2 linked regions of the Astyanax mexicanus genome follow. The protein of the gene in region 1 purifies or fractionates together with the protein of each later gene. This does not show direct contact. Links are inferred from orthologs where the notes say so. Each region holds a gene or a part of one and is shown in the gene's direction. Other genes may lie near its edges. The genes, in order: xrn2 and cdkn2aipnl.

Region 1 (7,526 bases):
TGTTAAAGTTGACTGTTAAAACTGGCAAGCTTTTGTTCATTTAAAACTATACAGCAGGTCTCAAGGCCTCTTTAAGGAGTCTGTTGCATGTTTTGTTCATTTTGCACTTAATCTGAATCTGTATGTTGGACTGAGAAACTGAGTTTTTGGTTTCAATTCTTAAATATTTTAGGAATTTAAAAATACTGTACCTCAACTTCATGCATTGTTAATGTATGAGTAAGAAATGTATTAATAAAAATAAATTCAAGTAATACATTTTGTATAAGTCAATTTGTACATTTATAATTTGTTAAGGTGAATATGTAAATTGAGCTTGATTTAATTGAGTTAGACTAACTTAATATTTAAAGGTGAATATGTAAATTAAACTTGATTTCATTGAGTTAGACTGACTTAATATTTAAAGGTGAATATGTAAATTAAACTTGATTTCATTGAGTTAGACTGACTTAATATTTAAAGGTGAATATGTAAATTAAACTTGATTTCATTGAGTTAGACTGACTTAATATTTAAAGGTGAATATATAAATTAAGCTTGATTTCATTGAGTTAGACTGACTTAATATTTATAGGTGAATATGTAAATTGAGCTTGATTTCTTTGAGTTGGACTGACTTGATATTAAGTTGTATGAGTCTAATACAAATGAGTTGGTGTAACAAAATATTTTTAGTTGAACTTACTTAAAAATTCATCAAGTTGAATTTACTTAAAAAAATTGGTGCAAAACGTTGCCTTGATTTTTTTAAGTAAATCCAACACATGATTTTTTTCAGTGTACATACAATGTTCACATTGTTAACAACCTATGCGCTCACTGTTCTTTTTAAAATGTTCTTTTGTATTGATATACCTCCTTCACTTCATCATATTTAACCCATGTTTTGAGACAGTTTTCTTGAAACAGATCATCTCTACTATTGAAGGTAATAGGAGTGCCTTCAAATGGCTAGTGGACGCTTTCAGTTTGTGTGAAGACTGTAATTGTAAAACACGTTATGATTAACATGATTTTTTTAGTCTATTTGCCCTGACAGATCCCATCATATACTTAAAGTGGCACTTTGGCCGAAATGAAAACCATAGCCATCCCTTATTCTGACGTAAACATGCATACTTATGTCCCACAGTGGAGCTGCAATTTATCTTGAAGGTGGGGGAACGTTTAAATAAATAGCAGCACTAATAGACATATGTCATTTTGTAGTGGGCACCATGTTGTTTATGCCCACATTTGGTGTTCCGTGTGTAAGCTAAATTTTCCAATGGGGAGAATTTTTTTTATCACCTCAATCACATAAATAAATAAATATGCTCAGAACCCTATAGAAAATGAAAAAAGCTACCAATTACTGTTGCATTAGCTTAACTGTAGCAAATTCTTATTACGACTCTTAAACAATCTCGTAGTTCAGAAAATCCAGTGATAATCAGAAGAAAACTGTACGCAGAATAAAACATATATGGTTATGAACATATTTATTAATCACAGATTGTGATAGACCCCATTCATTCTGCTCATTGCGCAATTAAGCCTAGACACGGAACTCCAAATATGGGCGTAGGACTACAGAATGCTATGGCTATGTTAGTCACTATTGTGGGAGATTATCATGCATTTGTGTGGTGCATCTTGGGTACAGAACTGCTATATCGTTCACTCGATTTAATTATTTTTTTTATCCACGGCCCCTCCCGGGCTCTGTACCTTGGGTACTGTAGTAAAAGAACATTAAATACAAGAAGTACAAGCATTAATTTTGTCCAACCAGTAGGGCTCTGAGATACATTGTTAAACAACAGAATTATACACAGCATACACAAATAGCATACGTGCTGTTATCATGTCTAAAAACCTTTTAAATGGTCCTTATTTTAGAAATCACACAAGCAAATATGCTACAACACTGTGACATAGTACGAGGGGAAGGGGATGATAATTTAGACTCTCCATTGAACTATGGTTTTAATGTGCTTTAGGAATTTGGTTTAATTCATCGTCTAATTAGACAAACTGTGTGTGTGGTACTTTAAAATATGTGTACAAAAGGATGCATTAATGAACATGGGTTCGTGGAAGTAACATGAAGAGAGCGCACACTGTTCACTTATGAGGAGAGAAAGAAGATAAGGACTAGTCTCTGCATATGCATCAACCACATCAAAGCCTCTGCATAGAAATGAGTCTTATACCAAGAACCTCATATATAATCCCATGCCTGTTAATGAAGCATCAGCTCACTACTAGAAATGCAATTAAAGCACATTAGCCCCATGCTCACTGCATGACCATGACGCTGACCTGCACATGAACTGTCTCACTGTCTAATTGGGTTAACTGTGAAATGAGGAGAGTGACACAATTTTAAGTGATATCCCTTCCACAACAACAAAATAATAAAGTGATTCCAGTTTGAAAACATTTAATATTTACAAGAGGAAGGCATAGTGCAGGTAAGTGTACATTTTAAAACAGATTTAGTAAAATGTAGAAATGTAGTACAGGATTTAGTCAGTGCACAAAAATGGGTAAACCTGAATGCTGGAAAGATTCTTCCCCCTGCTTGGGGCATGAAGAAAAAGTAGTCTTTGTAAGTGTGAGCAGAATCTGTTATTTTGTTTCGTATCAATATTTAAGGTTCGTCTCATCAACCTCCAGTTTAAATGATTCTCTGATCCTAACCACTTGTAATTTTGAGCTGCAACAAAAATAGCAGCAACTATTAAATTCAGCATTAGGGTACCTATGTAAGTTTAAGACCAGCTTTTGAAAGTAGTTGGATTTGGATGGTCTTCAATATTCAAGATGGCCTTAGCTGGTCAGAAAAAGAGCTTGTAAGCTCTTGACCAGCATACCCAGATAGCAAAAAGTGATTAAATAAACTTAAAATTTTCTCTAATGCACTGATACAATGTTATGGTTTTATATAGGTTTTTGTATCAAACTTATATTTAATACAACTTATATTATATATTTTTAGTATTTTTATACTTATACCCTTATACTCTTTGTATTTATTTTCTTATTTTCATAAGAGCTTCATGTAAGGCTGAAGGGGGCTGCTTACTATTTGTTAAACAATAGCTTGCACATCACTTTAAATGGTACAAACTAAGTCTTTATTATAATCGAGAATCGCTAATTTATTTGAAGAATATATAATGCTTGTTCAAGCTTACTCACACAGGTTGTCTAGCTTTTTAAGCCACATATAATTGCAGCAATAATGCATTACCTAATTGTAAATAGAGAGAAAAACAGAAGTGAATAGGAATAAAAAGTATTTCACCGGGGGGTTCGTGGTGTTTCTACAGAGCCTCTAAGGTAACAGCATAATCAAAAAAATAAAAATAAAGAAACAATATAATGTGTGGCCACAATTTATTACAGTGTGGGAACAAGAATCCTAATGTGTGGCCATGACTTTTTAAGCTGCGGAAACAAGATCCTAATGCGTGGCCAGGTTAGGCGAGATCAATTTGGAATTTTGGAAATGAGATAATACATTTGTTGGGATGAGTTATTAAGGCGTGGGAATAAAATGCTTAAATACTGGCCATATAAGTAGTTCCCACAACTTAATAATTGTGACCACACATTATAATATTATTTTTCTTTTTACATCATGGGTTCCTAGGGGCTCTGTAGTTTCTGACCAAAACCACTCGAATACAAATCACATCATACTTACAATCTCCAAAGCGTTGGATTTAAAAGCTGCATAAATTTGTGTTTCTTCATCTAGTTTGCCAATGCAGTTCCTGTTATTTGCCATATTTTGACTCTACATTAAGTAACAAGCAAACTGCAAGTGCTTTTCCTGCTTAAGCACACTTGATTCCATTCAACTGTTAACTGTCATATTTAGTAGGCCAGTTAGAGCAGGGGAATTAGTTAACTAGTTACTTAAGCTTGCTGGAGTTTGCCCTACTATGAGACAATGTTTAATAATGGTTGGTTGTCTATTATAAACATATAAAGCTGTAATCCACCAAAACATGTATGTAACACATTTAATGTTCATTGCTCATGCCTGGTCAAGCTTACTTATACAAATTGTCTAGCTTAGTCTGATCAACACTGGTCATGATCTAAGCTGGTCAGCATGGTGTGCTTATTATTTTTTTTTTTAAGTGTGTGATGTTTTTGAGAAAGGCAGGACTCCCGCTATAATTAACTATCTGGTGTGATCTGGTCAGGTTGATGAATGAGTGGATGTAGCTGTGTGTTTGAGACTGTGGGGGGCGCGCTGATCTGCTCTGCTCCGCCGCTGCTGCTCTTGAACCGGAATAAACCCGGCCTGTGTTTGAGCTGTAGCTCTTTAGCTGGTTAAAAGCACGCTGCTCCGCTGCGCTACAGGCTCCCACTCATCCCGAGCTGTTTTTAAGTTTCACACAGATATATTATTTTAAAAACACGGTCAGTTTAAACTCGTGGTTTTAAAGAGAAGATGGGAGTGCCGGCGTTTTTCCGCTGGCTGAGTCGGAAATATGCGTCTATAATTGTGAACTGTTTGGAGGAGAAGGTAAGCTAAGCTAATGCTACAGCTAGCGCTAGCAATAGGCTAACGCTGCTGAGGAGAAATGCCCTGTGGAGAATAACACGCACTTTTTAGTTAGCTAACAGAACACTAGGGGGAAATATATGTAGGTTAGAGTCTGTAGGCAGTTTAATAAACCAGGTTTTAACATAACTCTGGAGCTAACGGGCTGAGTGGTGTTGTTAACGGTCTCTGAGACAACGGAGTCTTTTGATACACAGCGGTTAATTAAATAATCAAGCGTTAGCTAACTGAGGATACTGCTAAGCTAACTAGCTAAAACGTTAATGTCTACGTTCAAACAGCAACTGTTCACAGCTAACCAGAGCTAAGCTAAGCTAAACTAGCTAACTCTGCCTTTATGTTATGCTGGAAATGTTATGTTACCTATGTTTAGCTAGCTAGTTATTCACTAGGCGCTAGTTAACTAACGTTAGCGTTAAAAAAATATATAGAAAAAACGCGTGGCAATAGGGGTGTGCAATATGCCCCTAAAATAATATCACGATATTTTATGGTATTTTTTTGCAAAAAACGATATTCATGGCGATATGACTAAACTAAACACTAACGTTACTGCAACAAAATAAATATATATATTTTATTATTGGATACGATATGATATGGCACATCCCTAACTGAGAGATAAAAAAATATACTAGTATTTTATCAGATTTCTAAATTAAGTTAATGATCCAGTCTCATATTAATAATGGACTCCAGATATCTCCATATATCCAGGACTGAAGTAAAGTAAATAATATTATCTGTCTGTAGTAAATATATCATGGGAAATGAGAACAGTGTGCTGTGTTTTTTTTTTTTTTTTTTTTGCTAAAAAAGTAGTACCCTGATGTGATAATTAGTGGTTGGTGATTTAATTCATAAAATTAAAAAATGTTGCAGGTATTATTGCACACAATAAGATATGACCCCTAGCCATGACTTTTTAAGGCGCTGAAATGAGATCCAGCGAAACCTCGTATTTCAGAGTTGTAAAATCTGATTTTCTAAATTGGGGTCTTGTCAAAAACTCTCCAATTAAAAACTATTAACCTACAGGAGTCTCTAGTTTAGCCACATATAAATGCAGAAGTGATGTAACACACAATTGTAAATAAAGAGGAAAACACAAGTGAACAGAAATAAAAGCATTTCTCCGGTGTGTGTTTCTACTAAGCCCCTAAGGTAACAGCAATAGACATTAAAAATGAGGGTGCAGAAATGAGATCCTAGTGTGTGACCATAACGTGTTAACGAAATAATTAAATCCTGGCCATGTAAGTCATTCCCACAACTTAATTATCTTGTTCCCACGACTTAAGTTGTGATCATACATTTATTATTTTTATTATTATAATATATAAAGTAGACATCCCAAGCTGCAAAACACAATTTCCTCTCAGTTTGTGGGGAAAAAAAGTCTTGGTCGGCTGCTTGCACATTTGCATTCACTCCTGGGACACTCATTTTAGATTCTGGGAGATTTAATCTGACTTGCAAGGATCAGGGAGCAATTATTTATATACAGTAGATTCCTGCAACTTCCGAGAGATTTAGAACATCTGCATTACGTCACCTTAGGGGCTCTGTAGTTTCTGACCAAAACCACTTAAATACAAATCACTTATGAGCTTGTTTTTTGTCTAGTTTGCCAGTGCACTTTTTCCTGTTATTTGCCATAATTTGCACCTAAATTGTAGCAAGTAACAAGTAAACTGCACGTGTGTTTCCTACTCAAGCACACTTGATTCCATTCACCTGTTAACAGTCATGTTTAGTAGGCCTGTAAGAGCAGGGGAATTGACTAACTAGTTACTTAACGGCGTGCTGGAATTTGGCCCCCATTTTAACACCCCTTTGCAAAAGAAGCTAACTAACCTATAGTACACCAGGGATCATACCAAGCTGCACCAAGTGGACCATATATAGTACCAAAAATTTTGATAAACAATATTATTTAACGACCATTAAATTACATAATAAAATAGCATAATGAAAGACATTTTTTTTATTATTATACATAGTTAAAACAATGAACTGACCAAACAGTTAGTAAAACCACCACATTAGACTCATGGCACATTTTTTTAATTATTTTTTTTAATTCAATGCCCTATGCCGATGTATACAGTGTAGCATACATTCTTTTGTTTTACTTGGAAGTAACTGTGTCCATTGTTTTTCTTTCTTTTTTTAGTCTAAGGAATGCAATGGAGTTCAAATACCAGTTGACACCAGTAAACCCAACCCAAATGAGGTGGAGTTTGACAACCTCTATTTGGACATGAATGGAATCATCCATCCTTGTACACATCCTGAAGACAAGTAAGTATCTGAATTAGCTTGGAAGATAAATGTAAAAAAAGATGGTCAGTATTTTTTCCAGACAATGTTTGCTTTACTTTTCAGGCCGGCACCGAAAAATGAAGATGAAATGATGGTTGCCATTTTTGAGTACATTGATCGGCTTTTTAACATCGTTCGGCCGAGGAGAGTTCTTTACATGGCAATCGATGGAGTTGTAAGTATGGTCTGATTTTTAAATGTTATTTTCAGTTTTGACAAGTAGCAGCAGGGCTCCAGGCTAACATCATCTCACTGTACCATAAATAATAAAATAGCACAAAGTTAAAAAAAAAAAAAAAAAAAAAAGATTAAAGCTGTTTTGGGGCACTTTTGGAACAGAGAATTTGTGTGCTATAAAACCAGTTATAAGCAGTTTTTAAGGAAACTGCCTATTGATGATGCTTATTATATAACAATAATGTAAAACTGAGATAGTCTGTGATTACCTGTATAGAATTGCACCGTGGAGCTCAAAAGGTAAAGAACAAAAAATTGCTGCGTATCCAGCACTAAAACATTATAAACAGGATTCCCTTAGTCAGCTTTTTGATGGCTGCTGCTGTACTTCTACAGCACTTGTTGTGTGTGGTTAGCTGTATTAGTTGCTTAGCCAGCCAGCCAGCCAGCCAGC
Region 2 (6,514 bases), on another chromosome or scaffold:
TGTTCATTATTTTAAAGACAAATTACATACATTTATACCTGTGAAAATGTGTCATGTTTTGTTTAACAAAGTGAGTAAAGTAATGTTTAAGCCGATTCTCTGCCACTGCTCTCCACAGTACAGCAGATATATAAAGTTAGTATAAAGCATGAATTATAAAAATGTATAACAGGTTATAATAGCCTGAAGGGAGAACACTGTATACAGCAAGAACCCAGAGCCAAAAGCAGCAGTAATACAGTGGGAGTCACTACAGATGTCTTTATGTTTCAACAAACAGAAAACAAGGTTTAATGGTCACAACTTCAAATGTTTTTTCACTATTTTTATATTAAATTATACATAATATTTGAGCTATTATAATTATTTTATACAAAATGAATGTCTTCATAAGTTCTTGTTGTATACAATTTAGACTTTTTACAGATTTTTAGTTTATATTAAATGCTTAAAACTGTCATGTTCACACATAAAAATATATATTTTTTATTTTTGTAATATCACCAAGAATAACAAAAATATATATTGTTACTCTATAAAATAATAATAAATAAAATAATAATAATAATAATAAGCTAAGCTTTTCCAGGCGGATTTTTGAGATCTTGACAGGAGGAACCATTTTTCTAATTGAGTGACATAAATAAACACATGCTGAACTCTACACACAGCACAATCACAAGCTCATCTTCTGGCTTCTAGATCCTCCAGACCTTCTCCCATCAGTCTCAGTGTGTGTGTGTGTGTGTGTGTGTGTGTGTGTGTGTGTGTGTGTGTGTGAGGGGGGGGGGGGGGTCTCATTCACAACACTCCCTCATGTGAGAGCAGCTCTAACAGGATACCACTAACCATGTGAGAGCCTTGCCCCCTTCTCCACCAATCACAAGCCACCTGCCTGCTAGGCTTTGCATAAACACAGCCTGCCTGTGTCACACTGGACATATATGGAGGGTTTCATTGCACTTCTACAGGCTAACATCCCTGTAGAGCCTGCTCACACCATGATCAAATCATATTTAAACTGATTTTATTTGAACTGATTTAATGATAATGTGGAAATTTCTAACCACCTCACAGCACCAGCAGCGAATCATCTCACCCGGTTGCTGAAGAGGATGGGAGTGATGTCTCTACTGATCAGTTTTCCCAGGCAGAGGGCATTTTAGATAACTATGACATGTTTAATTAGCTGGATCACGTGTACTAGAAGCAAGAAGAACACTAAATGTGCAGGGAATGGGGATCCTGCAGGACCAACAGGAGCAAAAAAAAAAAAACCCAGAAGATGGTGAGAACCAATAGTTAGTGGGATCCATATTTACTAAAACACATCCAGAGTTTCAGGCTCGATCTGTTTATTATTTAGGACATGGACAAGAGGCTGGATTCCTGCAGTTCTGTTCTTCAATGGATCCCAAAGTTTAGTAGGTTCGTTAGAGCAGAAACTCCGCCCCCTGCAACGCCCATGCCCCGCCCCCTGCCTGATTTAGGAGGATGTTCCTCCACCTTGCCATGCGCACCTCGCGCGACAACGCCCACTTATCGCACAGCGAGAAGCAGCTTGGACTGTAAGCAAAGGCCACGCCCCCTACAGACCGAACTTAAGCAGGAGAAGCAGGAGAGATAATATTTAACATCAGTTACCTGCGAGTTTTCACTACAGTATAGTGCAATTAAAATACACCTGCATCACAATCATCATCATCATCACAATCATCATCATCATCATCATCATCGTCAAGCGTCTTTGGGTTTTAGAAAAGCGCTATATAAAAATAAAGTATTATTATTATTATTATCATCATCATCATCATCACCATATTAATGCCGGTAAAGTAGCAGTGATAACTGTGATACAGGCTGGGCCAGAGCTTCACCCTGCAGAACCGAGCTAACTTCACCAACCAGCCAAACACTCGGTTCTACTCAAACTTTCCAAACTTCCGGGGATTTATATCTGTAACTTATACGGACTATTTACAGCAGATATTGGTTAAAGTTTAGATACAAACAAAAAACACGATCTGCTGAAAATCTGCGCATCCGCTTCCTTAACATGTAAACAACCCGCCATATGCAGGCGGTCCGCTCCTGATCCCCGCGCGGCTCTTTACCGCGGGCACGAGGGGCTGCTAGAGCTCACTACCCAGCCCCGTTAGGGCACCGTTTAGCTCGCTTGCTTACCGTGTTTGGGCTGGCGGTCCTCGCCTGCGGGCAGCGCCGGGACCGGGGGCGGATCAGGAGACCATTGGAGGCGAACCGCTCGCAGCTAGCGGGGCTACTCTCAACGCTGCGGGGCTACACTCAGCGCTGCGCTGCGGTGCGTGTTCGCTCCCCGCGCCCCTGAATATCCCCCGGGGTGAAAAGTGTGTTAGTTAGCGAGAGCTTCAAAGAAACAAGTACCTCCGTCCGATTATCACGGGATTCAGTAGAAACGCGATGGCCGCCCGCGCAGCGCGCTTTCTCATAGAGATTTAAGCCGAAGCTGCGGCTCCACAGCCCGGGCTGCACTCGCACCCCTCCCCGCAGCCCGCGCTCCGCCGCGGGGCTAACCGGCTAACTCCCCCCCGGGTTTACCTGCGGAGAGCGGGGTCTGACCTACAGCTGTAACCGCACGGCGCGTTAAACACCGTTACAGCAGCTCCGCGGACCTGAGAGTAAAGTGTTACTGCGAGTTAACGAGATTTAGAGGCATTTTAGTTCCCCTAACCCCGAGTTACTTCCTAAGAGAGAGAGACAGCTACAGCTAACGGGCTAGTTTACACACCTTACCCCACAGCCTGTCTCTCTCTCCCTGTCTTTTTTTTCTGTGTCTTTCCCTGTCTATCTCTCTTTCCCTGTCTGTCTGTCTGTCTGTCTGTCTCTCTGTCTGTCTCTCTCTCTCTCTCTCTCTCTCAGACCCGCAGCACACATAAACCCGCACTCTAAACTCTTTTGGCGCCATATTAATGACGTACCAAAAATAAGCCCGTGATCCGCGCGACTCCGGAGAGCGCGAGCTCTGCTTCAGATCATTAAACACTACGGAACATCATATAAATACTCTTTACTTACCGGTAACTCAGTTTAACAGCTGATAAACATCAAGAACGCCAGCAGTTTCTCATATCTGTAAACGGGGCGGTTCATCATCCAGCAAACCGTCCGTTTTACAGTGAGACCGACAGGGGGAGCCATCGGCCAACACACCGCCCTGATCTGCTGTTCCCGGGACAGTTACTATCACTATCACCATTAAATCACCAACACCATCACTATCACTAATAAGACCATCACTAACACCATCACTAACCTTAACCCATCAGCCAACACACCGCACTGATCTGCTGTTCCTGGGACAGTTACTAACACCACCATCACTATCACTAACCCATCAGCCAATACACCAACACCATCACCAACTTAAGGCTTAAATACTAACACCAGCACCAACACTTATAGTATCACCAACTCCAACATTAACACCATCACCAACATTAACTCCATCACCAATATTAACACCAACACCAGTGTTGAGTGGTAGTAGGTGGTAGTGAGAGGTAGTGAATGGTAATGAGTGGTAGTTAACTGTAGTAAATAGTACTGAATGGTAGTGAGTGGGAGTGGATGGTCGTGAATTGTAGTGAGAGTGAGTGAGTGGTTGTGAATGGTAGGGGGTGTGAGTGGTAGTAAATAGTAGTGTATGGTAGTGAGGGGTAGTGAATGGTAGTAAGTGGTAGTGGATGGTAGTGAGTGGGAGTGGATGGTAGTGAATGGTATTGAGTGGTAATGAAGGGTAGGGAGTGTGAGAGGTAGTGTATGGTAGTGAATTGTAGTGAGTGGTAGTGGATGGTAGTGAGTGAGTGGTAGTAAACTGTAGTGAATAGTACTGAACGGTAGTGAGCAGGAGTGGATGGTAGTGAATGTTAGTAAGTGGGAATGAGTGGTAATGAATGGTAGTGAGTAGTTATTGGTGCTAGTGTATGGTAGTGAGTGTGAGTGAGTGGTAGTGAACTGTAGTGAATAGGACTGAATGGTAGTGAGTGAGTGTGAGTGAGTGGTAGTGAACTGTAGTGAATAGGACTGAATGGTAGTGAGTGGTAAATGGGTGGTAGTAACGACAGTGAACGGGTTGGTGCAGGGAGCCGCCGGGACGGTAGGGGGCAGTAAGCGAGCACGTGAGTGTTTAGTTGTGAGCGGAAGCTGGGTTTGTTTTTTGGCTGCGCGCGGTGTTGTGCAGGTGAGCGGGGCGCGCGGGGTGATGGAGCAGTTTGTAGAGATGAACAGACACCTGGTGGATCAGGTAGAGAGCTACCGGACGGTGTCTGAGAGCGAGAAGCACTGGAGGCCGCGGAGAGATTTCATCTTCCGGAATATTAACGATTATGAAGATCCTCACCTGGATCACCTGCTCGCGCTCTCTATGGTCTGGGCGAACCACGTGTTCCTGGGCTGCAGGTGAGATCCGGGCTTTTCCCTTTAGTCCTTTAGTGTAACAGGGTTTAGAGCAGCTCCAGGTTATTAATGATTAATGATCTCCATCAACTTTTACCTGCAGAGACCATCAACCCACCTGTACTCAAACCTGCAGCACAGAACACAGCAAACACAGCCTGAATCACCACAACAATACCTCTGCTATACTGAATATATTAATAGATGATAGACCAGAGCACAGTTAATACAATAACAAAGTAAATAAATATAAAACAGTATAAATCAATAATATCAAAAGAAACCTTAAAACTGAGTCCAGAGGTTTCAGCTCGGTTCTGGAAGTATGTCTGTATTTAATATCAATATATACTTAGAGACACCAACACTGCCTCAGCTAGCTTTATTCTTGTGTTCGTAGAGAAACACATTTTATTTCTGTATAGAAAACTAAGTTTGTACATCAATCTGCTTGTTAATGTGGTATTTAAAGGTGAAATGTTAATGTAAATGTTAAATGTTAAAATTTTGAAAGAGTTTTCAAAGATTTTTTTTATTTAGATTTTTTTAACTGACTTGAAGCACAGTAATCTACACATCACTCCTCTGAACTCCTAATGTTGATTCAGTTAGGAATCCAAAGGGGAACGGACCTCATTTCCATCTGGCAGTAGCTAATTATTGGTAGTTCTTTTTAGTAATAATCTCCATAAAAATAATTTGTTCCTTAATTAGTCCATATAATTGTTCCTAATGAATAAGTTCTCTTCCTGATTTTATTTTCTTATTTTTCCTCTCATTTGTTTGTTCTCTCAGATCCCTCACTCTCATACGACTGTTTATTCCTCCTTCAGTTTTATTTAACTGTAAATTTGTGTTTATTATTTTAGATACAGTGAGGAGCTGCTGAATAAAGTGAAGGAGATGGCAGAAGGAATCGTAGTTGAAGATGCTCCTGTATTTAAAACTCGAGATGAAATCGTCAAAAACCAGCAAAAGGTAGGTTCTGCAGGAATCTTACGCGCGCACGCGCACACACACTCACTCACACTCACTCACACTCACTCACTCACTCACACACTCACTCACTCATTCACACACTCACTCACTCACTCACTCACTCACTCACTCACTCACTCACTCACTCACTCACACACTCACACACTCACACACACACACACACACACACACACTCACTCACACACACACTCACTCACTCACAGTCTTGCAGAAGTACTTTACTGTTCTGATTCTTTCTTTCTCCAGCGGTGAAACAGAAACACTGATCTGATGTTTGGAGTCTCCTGATGACGAGCTGCTCAACTGAATGACAACTTTTATCATGTAAAAGTTTTAAACATTGTTTTGCTGTTTCTTTTTTTTATCTGAAACTATGAATTTTAAATTGTTTTTTTAACTGTTTTTAAACTTCATTTAAATAAATATGTTTAACTAATGCTTGGGTGTTTTTTTTTTTTTTACACACAACCATAAAGACAAAAAATCTGGAAAAGAAAAGTTTATTTTGCTTATACAGCATACAGTATAAATGTTTTTATAGGATAAATTCACAAAAACTAACTTCATTACATATTTTTTCATGAAAACACAGTCACAATATAACCCACACTTTATCTGAAAACTGAGCTGTATCATTCTGTATAGGACAGAGTATATTTATTAATGCACATTTCACTTTTTATTTGCAGCCACATACAAATGAAGGTGAGTGCTGAATGTCGAATGAGACACAAGCGAAGTGATTGGAATATTATATCTAATCCAGCCAAACCAGAACATGGTGGTATTGTTTAGATTGTAGAACAGAACTGCTGTTGGTGAAATTCTCCAACTATAAATAGATTTATTTCCTTATACAATATCTCAATATTTTTGCCAGCAGTTTCCTTTCCTTAAAACAAAGGTAAAGAAAATTATATTTTATGAATGTAAACCATCTGAAAGTCTACATTTACTGCAACAATACTACAAAGTCTGTTAGCAATAACTTATCATGCAATAATAAAAATAGATATAATAAAACAAAAAAGCACAATGATTTCTGCTTTCAGCAACATGTTGGCAAAGAAGTCCGTTCTGA

Evidence for each region.
Region 2: the proteins of xrn2 (region 1) and cdkn2aipnl purify together in Homo sapiens (co-immunoprecipitation; 6 studies listed by BioGRID and IntAct, with this or other methods). This does not show direct contact. The link is inferred for Astyanax mexicanus from reciprocal best matches to the Homo sapiens genes XRN2 and CDKN2AIPNL.

What each region holds. Positions count from the first base shown.
Region 1 is NC_064408.1:83,918,331-83,925,856, reverse strand, and holds the start of xrn2 (5'-3' exoribonuclease 2), read left to right. Parts: upstream 1-4,305; 5' UTR 4,306-4,456; coding exon 4,457-4,531; intron 4,532-6,746; coding exon 6,747-6,874; intron 6,875-6,958; coding exon 6,959-7,070; intron 7,071-7,526. UniProt on the Homo sapiens protein: Possesses 5'->3' exoribonuclease activity. May promote the termination of transcription by RNA polymerase II.
Region 2 is NC_064424.1:48,052,875-48,059,388, reverse strand, and holds cdkn2aipnl (CDKN2AIP N-terminal-like protein), read left to right. Parts: upstream 1-4,086; 5' UTR 4,087-4,240; coding exon 4,241-4,437; intron 4,438-5,303; coding exon 5,304-5,412; intron 5,413-5,679; coding exon 5,680-5,685; 3' UTR 5,686-5,869; downstream 5,870-6,514.